4 linked regions of the Xenopus tropicalis genome follow. The protein of the gene in region 1 purifies or fractionates together with the protein of each later gene. This does not show direct contact. Links are inferred from orthologs where the notes say so. Each region holds a gene or a part of one and is shown in the gene's direction. Other genes may lie near its edges. The genes, in order: hspb1, daxx, g6pd and tgfb1i1.

Region 1 (5,342 bases):
CCAGTTGACATGTATGACATGGATGAGATATTGTGTTGTAATAACCCATTTCAACTGCCAGAAACAGGGACAGAGAGTGAGATTGGCAGTTTATCTGAAAAATTAAGATTTCTCGAAAAATGCTGGGTTGTCCTGAATGCAAATTGATATTCTATCCCAGCGTATTCTAGAGATCTGTTAACCTTAAGAAATCTGGGCATTTTTTATTGTTAGATAAACCTTCCTTTATAAATCAGTGTCAGGGATACTGTGCTGCTGTTAAACTACATCTCTCAGACATCTAAAGGCTGATCAGCAACAACAATACAAATGCATTCTGACCGGAAGAAAATAACATACCCTATGTAAAATATAAGGATATTTTTTACCATATTTCTCTTACAGTTCATGGCAACGCAAGGTAATTTGTAATATCATCATACATTAGGAATAGGGGAGGAAGTTTTTATAAAACACAGTTTTCAGTGAATCATGTGACAACTGATATCACGAAACACTGATTTTAATAATTTATATAATTAATCACTAGGGTTGCTACCTATCCAGTTTTGAACAGAATAGCTGTTTTTTATAGGGGACTGTTGTTCAAAACTTTTTAGCATTGTAAAACCTGGATTAAAATTGCCCAGTTGCACACCTGCAATATCAAAGCCCCACCAAGATCATAACTCTGCTCTCAAGTGTCCCTGACCCAATGGCTGACATCATGGTTCTGCCCTCAATGTCATTACCCTACTTTTTAACGTCATTGTCTTGCCCACTTTGTCCTGGTCCACCACAATGATGGCAATCCCACTAAGCATCCTTTAAAAGCAAATATGTTACATGTTATGCATGGCTCTGATTATGAAAAACACAATGAAGAACAGACTAAGTTGGTTGTCACAGTTCATGAAACATCACATAATACTTTGTGGGTATATCTTAGTGACACATTTTTAATGAACACTGGAATTTTATTACAGCTTTCTCATTCTTTCTCAAAATAGTGTAAAAAATTCCTCTGTAGTTTTGCAAGGGCTATTGTAGATTGTTATATTCTGAGTCAAGAGATCTTATAAGGATGGCTCGCTTAAAGGCTAAGGAAAGTCATTTTGGCAATTTACTGCCAATAGATTCTCCACTTTAGTGCCACCTAGAACGCTATATTTATTCTGCAGAAAGCATTACCATACCTGAGTAAAGATTCCTAGAAGCTTTCTCTGTTTTCTGTGCAGCTGCCATTTTAGCTTGGGTTCATAGCTTCCTGCAGTAGATCTAGAGGCTGATAGCCCATATTACACATTCCTAAGGATGGGGGGAATAAGTTTTATGTATTCTTATGGGAAGGGGGAGCAGAAGGGAGAGAGAGAACTAAGCCAACTCAGGGCCCAGGAATGAAGGATTTTTTGAGAGAGGAAGTCAGATACCCTAAGAACATGTTTACAAAAAAGGAGACAAGAAATCCTGTGTTTCTTTTGATAGAGGACTCTGTGAGTCCTTATGGCTGTATTTACATAGACCTTTTTGATAAAGCTTACTTAGTTTTTACCTTTTCTTCTCCTTTAAGTATTTGTATATGGTGTATGCTGGTGCTTTATAACAATGTTGAAAAAAATACAATGTTAATATATTCTTCTCTTCATGTAACAATTCATTTCTTTTATGGTTAAAAATAAAACTAGGAATAATCTTTTTACCTCTTTACAGTAGGCAACTTTGGACCTGGTCAGTAACCCATAGCAGCAAGTCAATGATTAGCTTATTTAAACAAGGAGTAGGTAGAACAATGAAAGCAAACATCTAATTTGTTGCCATGAGGTTCTCTACATTCTACCCTAATTTGCTTTCCTAAAATGTATTCTGCAAAGTCATCAATAGAGAAAGCATCAGTTTATAGACCCTTTACCCCCTTGGGAACTTGAGAAGGCTACAAGTTAAGTTTACCCAGTTTATGAGAGAGTGCCCTGTCATTGTATTGTCATGCAGAGATGCCAGACATTTCCATCACAACTACATGTGTAATTTCCATTAATAGAATGCTCATTCCATCAGCTAAAAATAACCAGCTAGCTCTTCATAAAGCCGCTGCACCTTCCAGACCCTCAGAGCAACCACAGGCCGAACAGAGTAAAGAGCACTTACTAGCTGGCACAGGTCTAGAGAAAATGTCAGAACGCAGAATACCATTCTCCTTCCTCCGCACTCCAAGCTGGGACCCATTTCGGGACTGGTACCAAGGCACCAGTCGCCTTTTCGATCAGTCATTCGGTATGCCACGTATTCCCGAGGACTGGTACCAATGGCCCAGCACCAGCTGGCCAGGCTATGTTCGCATGCTTCCAAGCCAGTCCATGGAAGTTGTCCCCCCCACCACACCTGCTGGTGCAACTGCTCCTGACTTTAATCGTGCCCTCAGCCGCCAGCTTAGCAGTGGAATCTCAGAGATCCGTCAGACTTCAGACCAATGGAAAATCAGCTTAGATGTCAACCATTTTGCCCCAGAGGAGCTGGTCATAAAAACTAAAGATGGCATCGTGGAAATTACAGGTATGGCATGGCTAACCTCATATACTAGCAATAATAGTATAACATTCTACATTGATTATTTTAAAAAATGCCTTTCACATACTGTTTTGCTGTATAATTCCAACACACTGCATTACCACTTCTAATAAATGCACTTAGCAGGGCTGCACTGGTTGCAAAGTAATTACATTTCCCTGAACTTTCAAGCAATTTTGTAATCGATTTTCAAGCTCATAGGACAAAGGACACCTAGTTCCTTACCATAGCCTGGATACAACATGATAGAAAAGTTAAACAAAAGCCATACTGAGACCATCTCCAAGAGGTGACTTCCTTACCTATGCAGCTCTGTCATGCCTAGAATGAAAAGGCACACTCTGTTTTCTGGTACAAAATCACATGTGACGGTTGTCTCCTTCATTGGGCACAGCTACCCCTGCTAGCTAACGTACCTGCCTCTCACCTCGGAGGAATAACCCATACCTAGCTAGCCTAACCAAGGACATCCAGCTCCACCTAGGACTGGGCTCTTAAATGTCCACCTTGAAGTTTCTAAGGCCAATGCGGCACTTCCTTTATCTCTACCCTGTAATACAGTTTATTGGGTCCAAGACCTACCCCTACTTAAAACTTCCCAAATCAATTCCTAACTATGGCCAACCTACTCTACTGCCAGCAGAATCATCTGCCATATATACTGGAGGTAATTTATATAGAATTTATGTAGACCTAGAGCAGAAGAGCAAGTGCACTTAGGGGCACAACAGCATGTCCCTTCTCCATTTTTGCCTTAAAATGCAGCTTCATAAGCCAGTCCTATCATCACAGCCTGGACAGGTTGTAAGGAGCACCATTGCAGTTAGCATCTGCCTTCACTCCCTAACTTGTGTGCTTGAATGATAAACAAGTTAGGGGGCAGTGGGAGTAAAACATTACCGGTGCTGCTGTTCATAGCAGCCAACCAGATGTTTGCTTTGGTTTAAAATCTAATTGCTGATTGGTGCCCTAGGCAATGTCACAGTTAGTGTTTCAGTCCACTTTTTACACATGATAAATATTTCCCCTAGTTTGTTACCCATTAAAATTATTATGCAGTACTGTAAGGGCCGGATTTATAGATTTTGCACGCCTAGCCCTGCTCACCACTTGCTTCCCCTTCTCCACGCCACTGCTGTCTATATATATATATATATATATATAATATATATATATATATATATATAAGTCACTCTGCAGCATTGCAGCTACAAATAGCTAGGACTGAAGTATTAAAGGACAGTATTAAAGAGGAATCTCATGAAACATTTTTTTTGTAAAGTAATTAAGCTTACAGTTAGTTATTTTATATAATGACATTATTTTGCCTCTCTATCATGTCCTTCTCCTTCAAGTTTTGGTTAGTCACACACTCACAGAAAAAAGGCAATATTGTTGTGCACAAATCATAATAATCATACGATACTTCTGCAAATAGAAAACTTGATCATCTCTATTTCTGCCTCAGCTCATTTTTCCAACTCATTTTTAAAACATATCCTATGGTCTATTTAACACACAGTAAACTGTAGAAATGTAATGGGGGTGGGGGAGACCACACTGAAACTGTGGTATGGGTGCTGACAAATTTCACATAGAGCAGCAGGTGGCAGCGATTACAATAGTTATATATAACTAGGGGAAGTAGAGGAATCATATTGTTAGATAATAGGTTTAATTTATGAATGCTCGGGGCAAAAAGGGTCACAGAAGTTCTCATAAAAATGGCATAACCAATGTTCTTGCACCTACTTGCATTCATCTCAATTTGCCTTCCATCTGGCAATAATGCAAATTGCTAGTGGGAAAACATATGCATCACTTTAGGTTTATGAAGTTGTTAAAGTTGCCTTGCAAGTAAACTATAGGCATTGAGGCATTTGGAGGAGATTAAAGGTCCACAATAACGATTTGTTGCAGGCGACTAATCTCCTCTTGTGCCATTGAGATTGGTCACTCGTGGTTAAATCTTGGCTACTGTGGGTGACTAATCTCTTTGAAATGCCTTCCCACAGGAAATAAAGTGAATAGCAGATGGAAAACAAAATGCTGCATATTTTTTCCCACAGGTTATTCATTATATTGCAAGTGGAAAGGCATTTTGGGGAGATTAGTTCCCTGCGAATAATATCCCTGTGGGCCATGGCCCTTAAGCAAGTCGGCTTGCTCAATAATCTTGAAATGGTTTCAACACAGTCCAGGCAGCCCTGTGCTGTAGACTTATCATTGATAAGCCTTAGAACACAAAGCTGGCATCAGATGCATTTATCAGTCGTGTTTAAGAGTAGAAAGAGACAAGGTTTATTAGATATGCCATTAGCAGCGCAAGTCTTTTGAGGGTAACTGGGGTATTGTATATTCAAGGGTAAAGCTGTACCATGTGCTGAATGTATCATGTATCAATAGACCCAAATGGACAATGTCTCCAGCACATCAGTTTAGATAACAGACATTTGTTGTAGCAACTGAGGCTTTGTTGCTAGTAATAAGGCTTTATCAGTAAGCCAGTGACATTTCAGTATGTAACCTAACTAAGAGAAAAGCTACTATATATAGGACAAGGTCATCATGATTTATTTATATAGAAATAGAATGTAAAGATGGTTACCTTTGTATTTACAGCACTAAGATAAAATATTAGATTAGGAAAGGGCAGAATATTTTTATGAATATAAACATCCATTTCTCTGGTAATTTTTACTTCAGAAAATTGATTTCTAAATGCAGTATCACTAATAAGCTGTAATAGTTATATGCAATACAGAGAAACAAAATTATTAAAGTGCATGGCCCTCCTG
Region 2 (5,173 bases), on another chromosome or scaffold:
TATGCGAACATTCTTGTATGTTATTGAATGATAATATGGAAAACTCAACTATGGCTGTACCCCTCCCCCCCCCCCTTTTTCCTTTCTGTATCCCTACCCTTATATACTGATATAAGCAATAAAAAGAATTTCTGTTAAAAAAAAAAAAATATTCGGAAATAATTTTTTACTGTGAGAGCTGTGAAGTTGTGGAATTCCCTCCCTGAATAGTCGTACTGGCTGATACATTATATAGCTTCAAGAAGGGGTTGGATGGCTTTTTAGCAAGTGAGGGAATACAGGGGTAGGGGAGATAGCTCTCAGTACAAGTGAGGGAATACAGGGGTATGGGAGACAGCTCTCAGTACAAGTGAGGGAATACAGGGGTATGGGAGATAGCTCTCAGTACAAGTGAGGGAATACAGGGGTATGGGAGATAGCTCTCAGTACAAGTGAGGGAATACAGGGGTATGGGGGATAGTTCTTAGTACAAGTTGATCCAGGGACTGGTCCGATTGCCATCTTGGAGTCAGGAAGGAATTTTTTCCCCTCTATGGCAAATTAAAGAGGCTTCAGATGGGGTTTTCTGCCTTCCTCTGGATCAGTGCTGTCCAACTGGCGACCCCCTCTGTGTGGCCCCCCACCTGTCTGGCTGCTTTGATGGCTTACCTTTGTGTAAACTTTAAATGGTATCAGTACTGAGATTAACTGCCCCCCTGCATTGTTCTCACCTCAGATTCAGGCTGTAAACCCCTGTATTGTTTAAAAATGTAATCCCCTGTGTTGTTCACACCTTTTAATCCCTGCATAGCTGACCTATGCTGTCTGTGTGTATGGCACACACAGGTAGAGCAGGCAGAGTATGGCACACACTGGCAGCATAGGGCAGGGAGGGTATGGCACACACACGCAGCTAAGGGCAGGCAGAGTATGGCACATGCAGGCAGCATAGGGCAGGGATGGTATGGCACACACAGGCAGCATAGGGCAGGGAGGGTATGGCACACACAGGCAGCATACGGCAGGGAGGGAATGGCACACACAGGCAGGGTAAGGCAGGCAGAGCATGACACACAGGCAGCTAAGGGCAGGCAGAGTATGGCACACACAGGCAGGGAAGGGCAGGCAGAGTATGGCACACACACGCAGCTAAGGGCAGGCAGAGTATGGCACATGCAGGCAGCATAGGGCAGGGATGGTATGGCACACACAGGCAGCATAGGGCAGGGAGGGTATGGCACACACAGGCAGCATACGGCAGGGAGGGAATGGCACACACAGGCAGGGTAAGGCAGGCAGAGCATGACACACAGGCAGCTAAGGGCAGGCAGAGTATGGCACACACAGGCAGGGAAGGGCAGGCAGAGTATGGCACACACAGGCAGGGTAGGGCAGGCAGAGTATGGCACACACAGGCAGCTAAGGGCAGGCAGAGTATGGCACACACAGGCAGGGAAGGGCAGGCAGAGTATGGCACACACTGGCAGCATAGGGCAGGCAGAGTATGGCACACACAGGCAGCATAGGGCAGGCAGAGGCATACTTTATGGTTGAACTTTATGGATATATGTCTTTTTTCAACCTAACTTACTATGTTACTATGTAATGTAACACAAGCCAGCAGACTGAGAGAGCTGTCTTGCTGCAGGAGATGAATCAGTACAGTTTTACCAGTAAGTCATACCTAGAGCCTCCCTAAACTTAAAAAGATTACTGTATCAGCCTCAGTGCCTGGACAGCAGTACCAGCACCATAGGGAAAGAGACTGGGTTATGCTAATTGTACTAAAAAACAACTCATTGCGGCTCAGACTTCCCTACGCAAGGTTACGTTACGTCGCAAGCACCGCCCACTTTCTTACACGGAAACGGAAGCAGATAGTGGAATAGCTGAATCTAAACGGGACCGGAAGCGGACGTTGAGTGGGACTGGCGCGATAATTTTCCGATTATACCGTATGTTATTTGTGTTTGGGAATACGATTTTTATAATATAGTCTGTGCGCCTATGGTACTACGTGTGGCAGATTGCTAAAAATTCGGCTACTCACCAAGGTAATCACCTGCTTATTTAGCTTTCTATATATTGGGGTGGTATTGTAGTAACAAAAAGATTTTGGAAGAAGTCTTGTAACCTGACAGGCGTAACATTTGGCAGCAGTTAAAGACAAGTAGAGAAGTGTTCTGTGTCCGTGCAAATGCAGTTGGTCTGTGGCCCTGCTAGCTGCCTTGGAACTCCCGTCTGTCACACACATACGGCAGCCGCGGTGGCGAGATGTTATAGCTCCATGTGTATTTAATGGCATTAAAGCTATCTGATTATTTTATAGACATTAATGTTGTGTGCAGACTTATTGTAGGGACCTCCTTCCCTTTTTAATGCGAATTATAAAATAGAAAGTGAGAAAAAGGGAGAAAAGCAAAGAAAAAAGAAAAAGAAAAGCCAAATGTACCTTATAAAATGGTAGGGCTTTGTTTACAGCCTCTATCTGAATCTATTCCACTAAGTATAATTTCTTTTTTTACATAGAACTATACAGGTAGAAGGAAAGTATTCTGCAGGAGGTGATTCCAGTAGTCAGACCTAAAACTGCAGTTGCTGGGTTGGGTTCTATTTTCAGGACCATTCCCTTAGAAATAAAAGCTAAGATCAGGATTCAATAATCATGGATATCCGGACAAGACAGTTTTACATGTAACCAGGCCCCAGGACCACCTTTACATCTGGGGCATGTGCCCCTTGTTTGGGTTAAGATCATTTAAGCTGTGCCCAGTGTGAAATTTTGGGTTTCATGTCCACCACAATGGGATCAGCATTGTTTAGTTTGAAAAGCTTTATGTCCTTCGTCGACATTTCACCTAAATATTAAAGTTTATTAACCCAGAAGAGGGGGGCATATATGGGGGTAATTCAGGGACCCCCATTTCTATTTTCCTCTTCCTACATCACACTTAGCTTTAGAGTTTAGTAAATCCTGTAGCATTAGTTTACATGACTGGCAAACCTCATTTTCTGCTTTATAATTTGTGAGGACCCCTAAGCTTTTTAACAGCTGCCCATAGCCCACTGAGCGTGTGAGTGTCACCGGCACTTCTAACAGAAGATGGGGAGCTCCTGTCATGAGTTTGAAGGTCTGGATCATTACTAATATAGAGATGCTGAACCTTTAGGCTGGTCCAATAATTTCAGTTTCTAGCCATATTACTTTTTAGGGTATAATTATTCTTTTAAAGGACATGTAAACCCCACACACAAAAATTTAATCAGCGAACAGCCTCTTTGAAATCTTTAATAGTAAGGCTGCAACATCTCCTTAATCACTTAGATGCTCCTCCTGTAACCCACTCGGCCCCCACCCTCAGGAATTTGCTTTGACTTCTGGCTTGTGGACATGCTCAGTTGTTCTAAGCTCAGATTACTAGACACGCCCTCCAGTCTTAGCAGCCAGTGAAGAGATGGCATTGCTGGTTCCCATAGAAACTCAGCTCTAGCTGTCTGCTTCAATTTTTTTCTCCTAACCTCCTCTCCTGAGCTCAACTCAAACAAAGCAGAACTTTTATCAAAGACAGTTGTGCCTGTGTAAGCCTGTATTCTTGATGGAATGTATGCTGAATAAGGGTCTGTGTGTGTGTATGCTGTTTGCATATTTAAATGTATCTGATTATGTATTAGAGGAAAAATGGCCACCAGGTGAAAGCTGCTATTTGCTTTAGGAAAATGTGATGGTGCTAGCAAGCGGAGAGGATATATGCAGTGCAAATGATGTCATTTGGGTGGGGGAGACGTGCCCAACTGATATACATTGTAGGCAAATGTAGGGTTTACATGTCCTTTAAGTATACAATTCCTGTAGAAGTGACTGGAAAAAAAACATGAAGCAGCACGTGATCTCATTCAGCTCATTCTTGTTGAAATTGAATATAAAACACTAATATCCTCACCAACTTATAAAGTCAACTGGCTGAATAGCCAATTCACAATTAAGTGCAATGCAGATTGCACTGTTTTTTTGTGCAGCTATTTAGTATATATCTGCTTAGAAGTCTACCAGCACATAATTTTATGAAATATATTTAATTGAGGTCAACAGTGGTTTCTACACAACTTCCAAGAATCAGAAAAGATAAAAATGATTTGGCCTTACATAATGTATTTCCAATCCCTCCTATCTGGCATTGTATCAAATGAACTGAGGTGTGAAGTTGTGGAAAATCTATTTTTAAAGTGGTTGTACCTGCATTTACATTAGTTTTAAGAAATGGATGGATGACTTTTTAGGCAAATAAAAAAAGCTCCTGCCTCATTTGCGTTTAGGCGGATATCGGCTACATGTGCCTGCACCCGAGCGTATTCAATTCATTCGGGTGCAGGCACAGGTAGGGGGATTTTTAAGCGTATAGAGCATATTCTCAGCATGCGTTTTTCGGCTTGCCAAAAATATGCGCCATATGCTACGTGTGGGCCCAGGAGCCTCAGTAAACACCCTCACCTGACCATAGGCTAATATACGAATCACTGCAACTAATCCTGCAGCAGTTTGCGGTGTGCTAATTAGTTGTCGCATTTCACCTCCTATTTCTGCACCCTGCCATCCTCTCCTACCTTCCCCAACATTTATAGTTTTCATTTGTTTTTTTACTAAATTGGGTATGTCTAGCTAAGATTTTTTTTGTTTCAATATTGAAATTAATGTAAACACTAAATGTACTGTATAATATATCATATTTTATCTCTCTGGTTTGCATTTTTAGTCATTTTGTAGTAGCTGTTGGTTGGTTGTTAATGCCAATAGCACAATAAGGCTATTAAAAGTAGTATTTTGACCATTGATCTCAATGTGCTAAAAGTTTTCTTTTTATTATTTTAGTTCATTTATTGCATTCTCCATTGTTCTTCATTACTTGTTTTTGCCTGTGTAAATTTCCTGTAGAACTTTCCATTGTGTGGGGCCTCTATAGGACTCATAAATTTGTAATGTTATGTTTATTGGGCTTCAAACTGTTCATAAGAGCCCTGGCATTTATATTTGAGTTGTTGTATCTTAGTCATTTGACAGAGAGAAGCTTTGTAGTTATGTAGTAGCTGTCTTTTTGGGACCAACTTACCGTTTTACTGTTTTTTAACCATACCTTAAAAGTAGACAGTGTTAAATGTAGTGAGGATATGTTTAAGTTTACTTGGACAGAGGTCTGGG
Region 3 (5,270 bases), on another chromosome or scaffold:
GTGTGTGTTAGTTATAGCGTGTGGGGGGTAGCGGCTACACGAGTAGCACACAGCCTGCTTACACGCTCCGCAGCATGCTTCTTTCAATGGAGAAATTACTGCCATAGAACTGCCACACGCGTCTCAATTAGAAAACCAAATCTGTTAGTGTTCTAGAGCGATGAATCCAGCTGCTAAAGCATTAGGTTTCATATACACCTGTATATATGCATGTCAGGAACCCTGAGCTATATTCTACTATAATGGGATTTTACCAGGGGCCACATTATTCTATATAAGTATCAGTGGGTGGTGCTGTGAATGACATCACTAAGTGCTGATTATAAACAATGACATCACTAGGTGCCATATCTGTATATGAATATTTTTACAGGTTAATCATTGCTCTTGTATGTGTTTAATGTGTGCGCACGTAACTCTGAAATTCATATTGGATCTATGTATATTATATGTATGTATAAGTGATCCATAGTTGGGAACTGTTCCTAATGACCAGGCACTGTGCCAGTTGCTGACCAATTGCAGCATTTTGTTATTCCAGTGATAATAAAGCAATTTTTATGGTTTTCTCTTTCATTTCCCTGCAGAGTCCTCCCTCCTGACCCAAAAACACCTATGTACCCCAATAGGCAGAGGAAGTCATATATATGGCAGCTGCCAACCCTGCTGCTCTACTCTGCCTTAAATCCTGATGTACGAGGAAGCATAAGGCTGGAACTAGGGCTAGGCAGCAGGGGCATGTGACTCAATCACAGTTGGGGGGCACAGGCTGGACTGGCATTCAGGGCCAGAACTAGGGGTAGGCAGAAGAGGCAGCTGCCTAGGGGGCAACGATTGAAGGGCGCCAGGCAGGAGCCTCTCTTGCCTACCCCTAGTTAGTGCTCCATTTTCATTACCCCTGCCGCGGTGGGGGCAATGAACTTTCACATCGCACCCCCCCGCCAAAACACACGGGGGGTGCAATGCAATAGTGCAGGGACTAGGTGGCCACCCGGGTTGCCTTGGGTGGCCGGTTGGCTCAGTCCACCCCTGCTGGCATTCCAAGTACACAGAGGCCCAAACAGCCCCCACCAGCCCAATAAATAGTGACTGGAAGAGCGGGAGCAAGCAGTGGGTGGCTGACCTGTAAATTGAACTGAAGTGGGGGATTGGTCCAGTTAGACAAGGGGGCACATTTACTAATCCACGAACGTCCGGAAAGCGTCCGAATGCGGTTTTTTCGTAATGATCGGTATTTTGCGACTTTTTTCGCGAATTTTTAGAGCGCTCAATACGAAAAAGTCGCGAAAATTTGCGAAAGTCGTAATGGCTATGCAAAAGTCGCGACAATTCAAGAAAGTCATAATGGCTATGAAAAAGTCGCAACAATTCACGAAAGTTATATTGGCTATGCAAAAGTCGCGACAATTCACGAAAGTCATAATGGCTATGCAAAAGTCGCGACAATTCACGAAAGTCATAATGGCTATGAAAAAGTTGCGACAATTCGCGCAAGTCGTAACGGCTACGAAAAAGTCGCTACGGTGACGAACAAATCGCAAAAAATACGAAAAAGTCGCAAAATGTTCGTTTCCAATCCAATTTTTTCCGATTCGGGATTCGGATTCGTGGATTAGTAAATCAGCCCCAAGGAGTCATGGGCCCTTCAGTGCCAATTATACTTGGCCTGGCTCTAGGGAAACATACTGTATTTGGGTGCTTGGTTTGGGATAGAGGTGTAAGGATTCTGCAGGGAACCAAAGAGGTATGAAGTGGTTTATTTCTCCTATAATACTATTTTGTCCCAATATAAATAATCCTTTCCATTTTTACCCTTGTCCCTTGTTGAATATTTGTGTTTCGCCGCACAACAATGCAATTAATTTAGTGATCTAAGTTTGCTTTATGGATATGAACCTAAAGTAGGAGATATAAATATTGTAAGATTGTAAGCTCTACTGGGGAAGGGATTGATGTGTAATTACTGCTTTAAAATCCAGTGCCAGAGAGTACTCTGGGATGTACAAGAGTGATGTGGGGAGAAAGGTGCATGGAGTAGAGCAGTGGAATGCTCAGTTTGGGAGGGATTTGATGAAGGGGAGTGGTGAAACATGCATAGTAGGCTGGGAGTCCCTAGACGGGAGCCTGCCTCTATGTCCCGCCCTATCAGACAAACACAACGCTCCTGGCATCTCTAGGGCACACACACAGCACTGACATCTCGAAGCACAAGCTAAACTTGATTCCCCTGAGTCGGCACAGCATCCCCTCAGTGAGTAACCAAACCCTATTGCAGTAATATGGGGGTCTCAAACTGGGTAGGGCACAGCTTGTTTAAGTTTACTCAATGGAAGCCTCTTTCACTTTCTAAAGGAAGGCTATATGTTTATCCTAGTCTGGGAATTTAGAGAGAACTGTCTGTCCTGTTTACTGGAATGTTATTGAGTCCTAGGAAAAGAATGGAAAATTGCAAGATGTAAACAGCTTGAGCTTTCTACGTTCAATTTATATTGTAGTGGGTTCCTCCCAAAATCCACTGAAGCTAAATGAAAGCAAGCAAATATGCTGGCACCAGGGCATCATGGTGAACACCTTAAGGCAGGGTATCGCTCCTTTTAAAGCCAAACACTTAACACTTATAAAATCACTTCTAAAATTCACGTGCTGAGTTATTATGCATTCTGCAGGGCTGCACAGTAGCCAGCACAGCACGCAGCATGTGTCTAAATACAGTTCTACTTAGCCATGAAGGATGTTGGTTAATTATGTGTCTGGTTTTAAATGGAGTGAGGTGTAACAACTGTCACTTGGATTTTAAACCTGTTTTTTCATTATAACACCCAGAAGCCAACATTAGGTAACTGGGCATGCTGGGGTTTGTAGGTTAGAAACAGCACTCCTCATCCTCGTGTTTGTGATGTGGTCACTTTAAAATTTGTTGCTCGTTTGCAAACTTTCCAGATCATTACCATGTGTATTACTTTGTGATTTTGCTTCCTGATGCAGGGGGTCATTCACAAACATATGAACATTTTTTCTCCTTCTTAGCAACCCATAGCAACAGAATTGGCACATTTCCCAGTAATTGTATTTCTCAGGCACTGGCACCTGGAACAAAGGCATCTTCAGTTTTGCTGGGGTCATCAGGCAGGTGATACTGACATTAGCTGGTGAAGAGAATGGTCTGTTCTTTAGATGTTGCTGAACTACCAAGCTGCATTGAATTAAGAGGACACTGTCCATGTCCAGAATAAAAATTAGAATCACTAAAGAAAATTCAATCCGACTTCCCAGTATACATTAAATAAATACAATGCCTTAAAAATTATCTTTGATTTAAAGCAGTACTTTATCTGTCACTTTCTACACTGCTGGTTCTGACTCTTGAAACAGTGCAGCAGCAGAAATCTGCCACAACGATCCCGTTAATCAGGTGGCTTCTGCTACATTGTTTCAGAAGTCAGATTCAGGTCAGAAAACAGCAAGGGACTTCTTTCAGTAGAATTTACAAATAACTAAATACGTTGAACTAAATACGTTGAATGTGTTTAAAGGGGTTGTTTAGCTTTGAGTTAACTTTTGGTATGATGTAGAGAGTAATATTTTGAGACAATTTGCAATTAGTCTTCATTCTTTATTATTTGTCGTTTTGTAATTATTTCACTTTTTGTTTAGAAATTCTCCAGTTTGAAATTTCAGCAGTTATCTGGTTGCTAGGGTCCAAATTACCTTAGTGACCGGACATTGGTTTGAATGAAAGAATCATATATTAATAGGAGAGGACCTAAGCAGAAAGAAAAGTAACAAAAAGTTACACTAACAATAAAATTGTAGCCTCACAGAACAATAGTTTTTGGCTGCTGGGGTCAGTGACCCCCATTTGAAAGTTGTAAAGAGTCAGAAGAAGAAGTCAAGTAATTTAAAAATTATAAAAAATAAATGATGAAGACCAATTGCTTAGAATTGGCCATTCTATGACATACTAAAAGTTAACTGAAATAAATGCATATTGGAAACCTGCTTACAATGACATTTGATTTCATTAGACTTTTTTGGCTTAAGATCCCCTTTAAGCCTTGTTACAGATCAGGAAGTAATGCAATATACTGAGAAGCAGCAATTGCTTGGTGAGCAACCCTTGCATAATTGGATCCGTCCCAGGAATAGGGATGGATTATCCTGGGCGTTCTGTTTATCTGGTGGAACAGGCAGTAACATTGTAACCTACTATTCTCCTGTATCAGTCTGCTGCAGGTGGGGACGGGAGGCATAACTTGCTAGTTTGTACTTATTACACTGTGGGGTGTTGGACACGTCTCCAAATTACGGAAGAGAAGACAATAGTTATGTAATGTTATGCAACAAGGGAAGCCTCCTCTGTAGCATTGCCAGTGTCGGGTCCATGGTCTTGCTCATCAGGCTCTGCCAGGTTCCAGCAGGGAAGGGGTTACAGTCAGATTATCAGTAGGCATTAAACAGTGATTTACTGCTGAATTCCAGCTAGGAAGTGGTGGTACATTTGCTGTATCATGCTGACTGTACCTCACCCTTTGTATTCATGTGCATGGATTTTTGGCATTCTCACTCTCCTCTTCTCTCTTCTGCTCACCTGACAAGCTCCTCCACCTATCCTAGCCCGGTGCCCACCCACCCTGTGCTGCTTCAGCATGCCCCGAGCTTGCATAACTGCCCCAGTGTATTAATTGCTCTTTAACCCATGAGGTATATGAAGAAAATAAGAGTTTCTTAACCCTTTTTGTGCCTATTTTGCACTGGAGCCAGTCGATCAATAAACTGAGGGTATAGCTTGCTGTTTGCATTGGATATACTTTCTGAGTACTTGCATTTATATATATGATGGTTTGGAGATGCCATGTTGCTTATCTATGTTCAAGCATTTTTTTTTTAGACTGCAGCATAAAACATAACCATTTAGGGCAGTGGTCCCCAACCAGTGACTTAAGGGCAACATGTTGCTCCCAGTGGCCTCAAAGCAGGTGCTTATTTTTGAATTCCTAGCTTAAAGGCAAGTTTTGGTTGCATAAAAAACAGATGTACTGCCAAGCAAAGACATCTGTAGGCTGCCATTCCATATAGGGGCTGCAGAACAACCAATCACAGCTCCTATTTTGAACCCCCAGGAACTTTTTGCATGCTTGTGTTGCTCCCCAACTCTTTTTACATTTGATTGTGGCTCACTGGTAAAAAAGGTTGGGGACCCCTGTTTTAGAGGGAAGACAGACAAGACAATTAGTCTACGTAATTTAAAAAAACATTGGAGATATGCGGTG
Region 4 (3,785 bases), on another chromosome or scaffold:
TAGAAGCATAGAAGATGGGGTTCCTAAAGCTTCAGAGGACGCACCAAGTCCTAAAAGTTTTGAGGTGGTGTCCGCTCCTGTGCATTTGGACGTCAAAACAGACCAAGTCATTTCTGCTTCCCGGGTTCCTGATTCTGTGTCTGGTTGCAAAGTTCCAGAAGCCACAAGTGGTCCAAGGAGTGATTTGGACTCAATGCTGGTGAAGCTACAGTCTGGGCTGAAACTACAAGGCATTGAAACGCAAAGCAAGGGTCTGTGTGAGAGCTGTCAGCGTCCCATAGCTGGGCAGGTAATATACACTATGTATACCCCTGCCTCACCTCTAGGGGGCAATGTCACAATATATGCTCTCGGTCAAGTAGAATCTATCAGCAGAATAGAAACCAACCAGCAGGTAACATTTGCTTGTCACCTGTTTGAAAGCAAACATTTGATTGGTTACTATGGGTTACTAGACCAAGAGCAAAGCTTAGGACTATTATTACATTAGTGCAGAATATGCTGATTTATGGATCCATAGTCCATCATTTATTCTTGCACCCCCGGAAACATTTTGGTGGAAATTTGTGTGAAGTTTCATTCCTTTTAAATGAAGTAATGATGAAGTGATGTTGATGAAGAGTTGGCCTTGATGACAAAGTCTTTTCTGAAGGTCAGTAATTCGGTGCCCATAGTCCCAAAATCAAAGTTCTTTCTACCGTAACATTTCCCCTCCCACCGTGTGTGTAAAAATCACAACCGTGTATGATGTTTTGATACTTTTCTTGTTCAAATTTGCCCAAGAACACGGTTTTCCAGTTCTACAAGCAGGAAATACAAACAAGAGTCATCCAACCATGAAGCTGAAGACGGCCAGACAGCAGGCGGTGGGAGATAACAAGTTCTGCAGACAAGGCACCTTATCTTCATAGTGATAGTTTAATTGAAGTATGACAACTGTATGTACTATGTAATTATACTGTGAAAGGTCTAGTAACCCATAGCAACTGGTTTTTACTGGGTTAGTCCAGTTAAACGAACAAAACTGTACATTTTGACCTTGTATAGAGTCTGTAAGTGCCTGTATGTTGTCTTGGTTGCATTTACCCCAGTGCCCCAGTGCCCCAGACTAAGCCATTCCTGCTGCTGAAACAACAGCTTCTTGTCCTGGGGTTGTGCTGTGGTAATGAAGGGGTTCTTGTTGGATTTTGTTAAATTGTGACCCATTGTCTTCTTCAGGTGGTTACCGCTCTCGGACATACCTGGCACCCAGAGCATTTTGTGTGTGCCCACTGCCACGCTCTGATTGGCACAACCAACTTTTTCGAGAAGGACGGTCGACCATATTGTGAGAAAGACTACTTTATGCTCTACGCCCCACGCTGTGCTCTATGTGAACTGCCCATAGTGCAGGTAACGTACCTGTGGGGAATGTTATAAAAGTTACAACATATGTACTAGGCTTGGTAGTGATTTAATATAGGGGTATAGGTTGCTGATTGGTGGCATTTAGTAATTTGCTGCTGTGAGCCACTGAGTTAGCCCTGGATCAAACAGTAGTTACAGGGCTCTAGCCTCTTGGAATATACATAAGGCGCAGGCAAGAATGTTGACTGTTCCACCCCGTGGTCCTTTTGTCTCATTGACAACCTGGGGGTAAGGCTGGACTCTGGACTCTGGAAGACCACAAGAGCTTACTAGTGGGGGTTCCAAAGCAATCATATCAAACTGGACTTTACCCTAAAGGTGGCCATACACTTTGAGATCTGCTCATTTGGTGAGGTTGCAAAACAAGCGGATCTTCTCCCAATATTCCCATCTAAGGTGGGTGATATTGAGCTAATTTGATCGTATGGCGGCCAAAGGCATCGTCGGGCCGAGGACTGCACCAGTGAGTCAATGCAGTCCCCAATCTGATGGGAAAAGCAAACCTGCCCAATTGACACCTAGTCAGATATCAGGGGAAGCCCATTGGGGGGGCACCATACATGGGCACGTAAGCTTTCAAATCAGTCTAAAGGAATCAAATTGGCTGCTTAAATCTGACTGTGTATGGCCACCTTTATACTGGTACATTTATTACTGCTATATTGACCCAGATTTCCTGTTTCTAATACTATTTTCTCTTTCCCTTCAGAACATGGTTACGGCACTTGGGTGCACTTGGCATCCGGAGCATTTTTGTTGTAAAGTCTGCAAAAAACCAATAGGGGAAGAGGGTGAGTATTCCCATTCCAGTGCCCCCTGATTGTCACAGTGCATTCCCCAGCCAGGCATTCCATTATATCCAATACCAATACACCCTCAAGGCATGTTTTGCACTATAATACCTATTATTGTGATATAATGCATTGCCTATAATGGTGTCACCATATATCCTATTGCCACATAGTGCATGATCTACCTCTTGTGATGCTGTAAGGCTTTACTTTTTGTGCAATAAATAGTGAATAAAGTACCCCCATTGTAAAATATAAGGATATTATAAGGAGTCCTATGACCATATAAAAGCACGAGGCTGAAGGCCGAGGTCATGGAGCTCTGAGGTGACTAGCCTTAAATGTTGGTCCCTCATTCTAATGTATCCTTGGCGTGTAACTGGCGTGTCAGTACAGCTGGCATGTAGCCAACTTTGTACAACAGGCTCATTAGCCCAAAGGTGATTGATTGAGCTCTCGCCATGACGGTGCCTTTCATGCCCCAGAGACAACTTGCCCAGTATATGTACATTCTTGCCTTCAGGCACATTTTTGGCATTTTTGAAATGCTGTATGCTATGCAATACACAGCAGCTGTGTGCCCTCAAATCTGCCCCAACGGGTTGGGGTACCTGATCTTTCGGGGGTATCCTGCTCTATAACATTACCCACAGTGCAATGCTTTGGCCCCTAGCTGTAGCACCTCTCTTTGTAAATGTGTCCCCATAAGTAACTTTCCCCTTGCTTGGTCTCTCTTGCAGGTTTCCATGAGAAGGATGGGGAACAGTACTGCTCAGATGACTATTTCCGACTGTTTGGGGCCGTCTGCGCAGGCTGCTCTGAGGCGGTGAAGGAGAGTTATATCTCTGCCCTGGGTGGCTTGTGGCACCCACAATGCTTTGTGTGCCATGTGAGTAACGCGCTTATGGGTGCTCATGTTTCCTTGCACAGAGCTTTGGCTCTCCCATTATCTATAGTCATCAGTGCTAAACTACCCCCCAGTGAGGGGACAAATACATGTGCAGTCCTGCTGATATATTCATTGTACTGTGTCTGACAAACAGTATGTCAGCTCCCCCCTGTGTGTATAAATGCAACTGCAGTCATACAGGGAGCTCTGAGTATCACTCATGTATTATAAGGGATAATGTACCCCCTACTGTAAATGATAAGGATATTAGCAGTCACTGAGGGGTTCTGTGCCCATATAAAGGCACAAGGCTGCAGGCTGAGTTATACAGGGAACTCTGAGTATCACTCATGTATTATAAGGGATACTGTACCCCCTACTGTAAATGATAAGGATATTAGCTGTCACTGAGGGGTTCTGTGCCCATATAAAGGCACAAGGCTGCAGGCTGAGTTATACAGGGAACTCTGGGTATCACTCATGTATTATAAAGGATAATGTACCCCCTACTGTAAATGATAAGGATATTAGAAGTCACTGTGACTATATAAAGTCAGTATGTCATGTGACATAATTTTTGGTATTATATGTATGTATGTATCATGTTTAACTCTTTCTTTACCGCTTTATACTGTAGGTGTGCCACACACCATTCATCAATGGAAGTTTCTTTGAGCACGAAGGCTTACCTCTATGTG

The links.
Region 2: the proteins of hspb1 (region 1) and daxx purify together in Homo sapiens (affinity purification with western blotting; 3 studies listed by BioGRID and IntAct, with this or other methods). This does not show direct contact. The link is inferred for Xenopus tropicalis from reciprocal best matches to the Homo sapiens genes HSPB1 and DAXX.
Region 3: the proteins of hspb1 (region 1) and g6pd fractionate together in Homo sapiens (co-fractionation; 3 studies listed by BioGRID and IntAct, with this or other methods). This does not show direct contact. The link is inferred for Xenopus tropicalis from reciprocal best matches to the Homo sapiens genes HSPB1 and G6PD.
Region 4: the proteins of hspb1 (region 1) and tgfb1i1 purify together in Homo sapiens (affinity purification with western blotting; 3 studies listed by BioGRID). This does not show direct contact. The link is inferred for Xenopus tropicalis from reciprocal best matches to the Homo sapiens genes HSPB1 and TGFB1I1.

The regions. Positions count from the first base shown.
Region 1 is NC_030678.2:94,195,858-94,201,199, forward strand, and holds the start of hspb1 (heat shock protein beta-1), read left to right. Parts: upstream 1-2,099; 5' UTR 2,100-2,147; coding exon 2,148-2,529; intron 2,530-5,342. UniProt on the Homo sapiens protein: Small heat shock protein which functions as a molecular chaperone probably maintaining denatured proteins in a folding-competent state. Plays a role in stress resistance and actin organization.
Region 2 is NC_030684.2:72,201,826-72,206,998, reverse strand, and holds the start of daxx (death domain-associated protein 6), read left to right. Parts: upstream 1-1,847; 5' UTR 1,848-2,033; intron 2,034-5,173. UniProt on the Homo sapiens protein: Transcription corepressor known to repress transcriptional potential of several sumoylated transcription factors. Down-regulates basal and activated transcription.
Region 3 is NC_030684.2:25,680,590-25,685,859, reverse strand, and holds the start of g6pd (glucose-6-phosphate 1-dehydrogenase), read left to right. Parts: upstream 1-2,206; 5' UTR 2,207-2,251; intron 2,252-5,270. UniProt on the Homo sapiens protein: Catalyzes the rate-limiting step of the oxidative pentose-phosphate pathway, which represents a route for the dissimilation of carbohydrates besides glycolysis.
Region 4 is NC_030685.2:14,005,435-14,009,219, forward strand, and holds part of tgfb1i1 (transforming growth factor beta-1-induced transcript 1 protein), read left to right. Parts: coding exon 1-289; intron 290-1,218; coding exon 1,219-1,392; intron 1,393-2,116; coding exon 2,117-2,198; intron 2,199-2,938; coding exon 2,939-3,087; intron 3,088-3,724; coding exon 3,725-3,785. UniProt on the Homo sapiens protein: Functions as a molecular adapter coordinating multiple protein-protein interactions at the focal adhesion complex and in the nucleus. Links various intracellular signaling modules to plasma membrane receptors and regulates the Wnt and TGFB signaling pathways.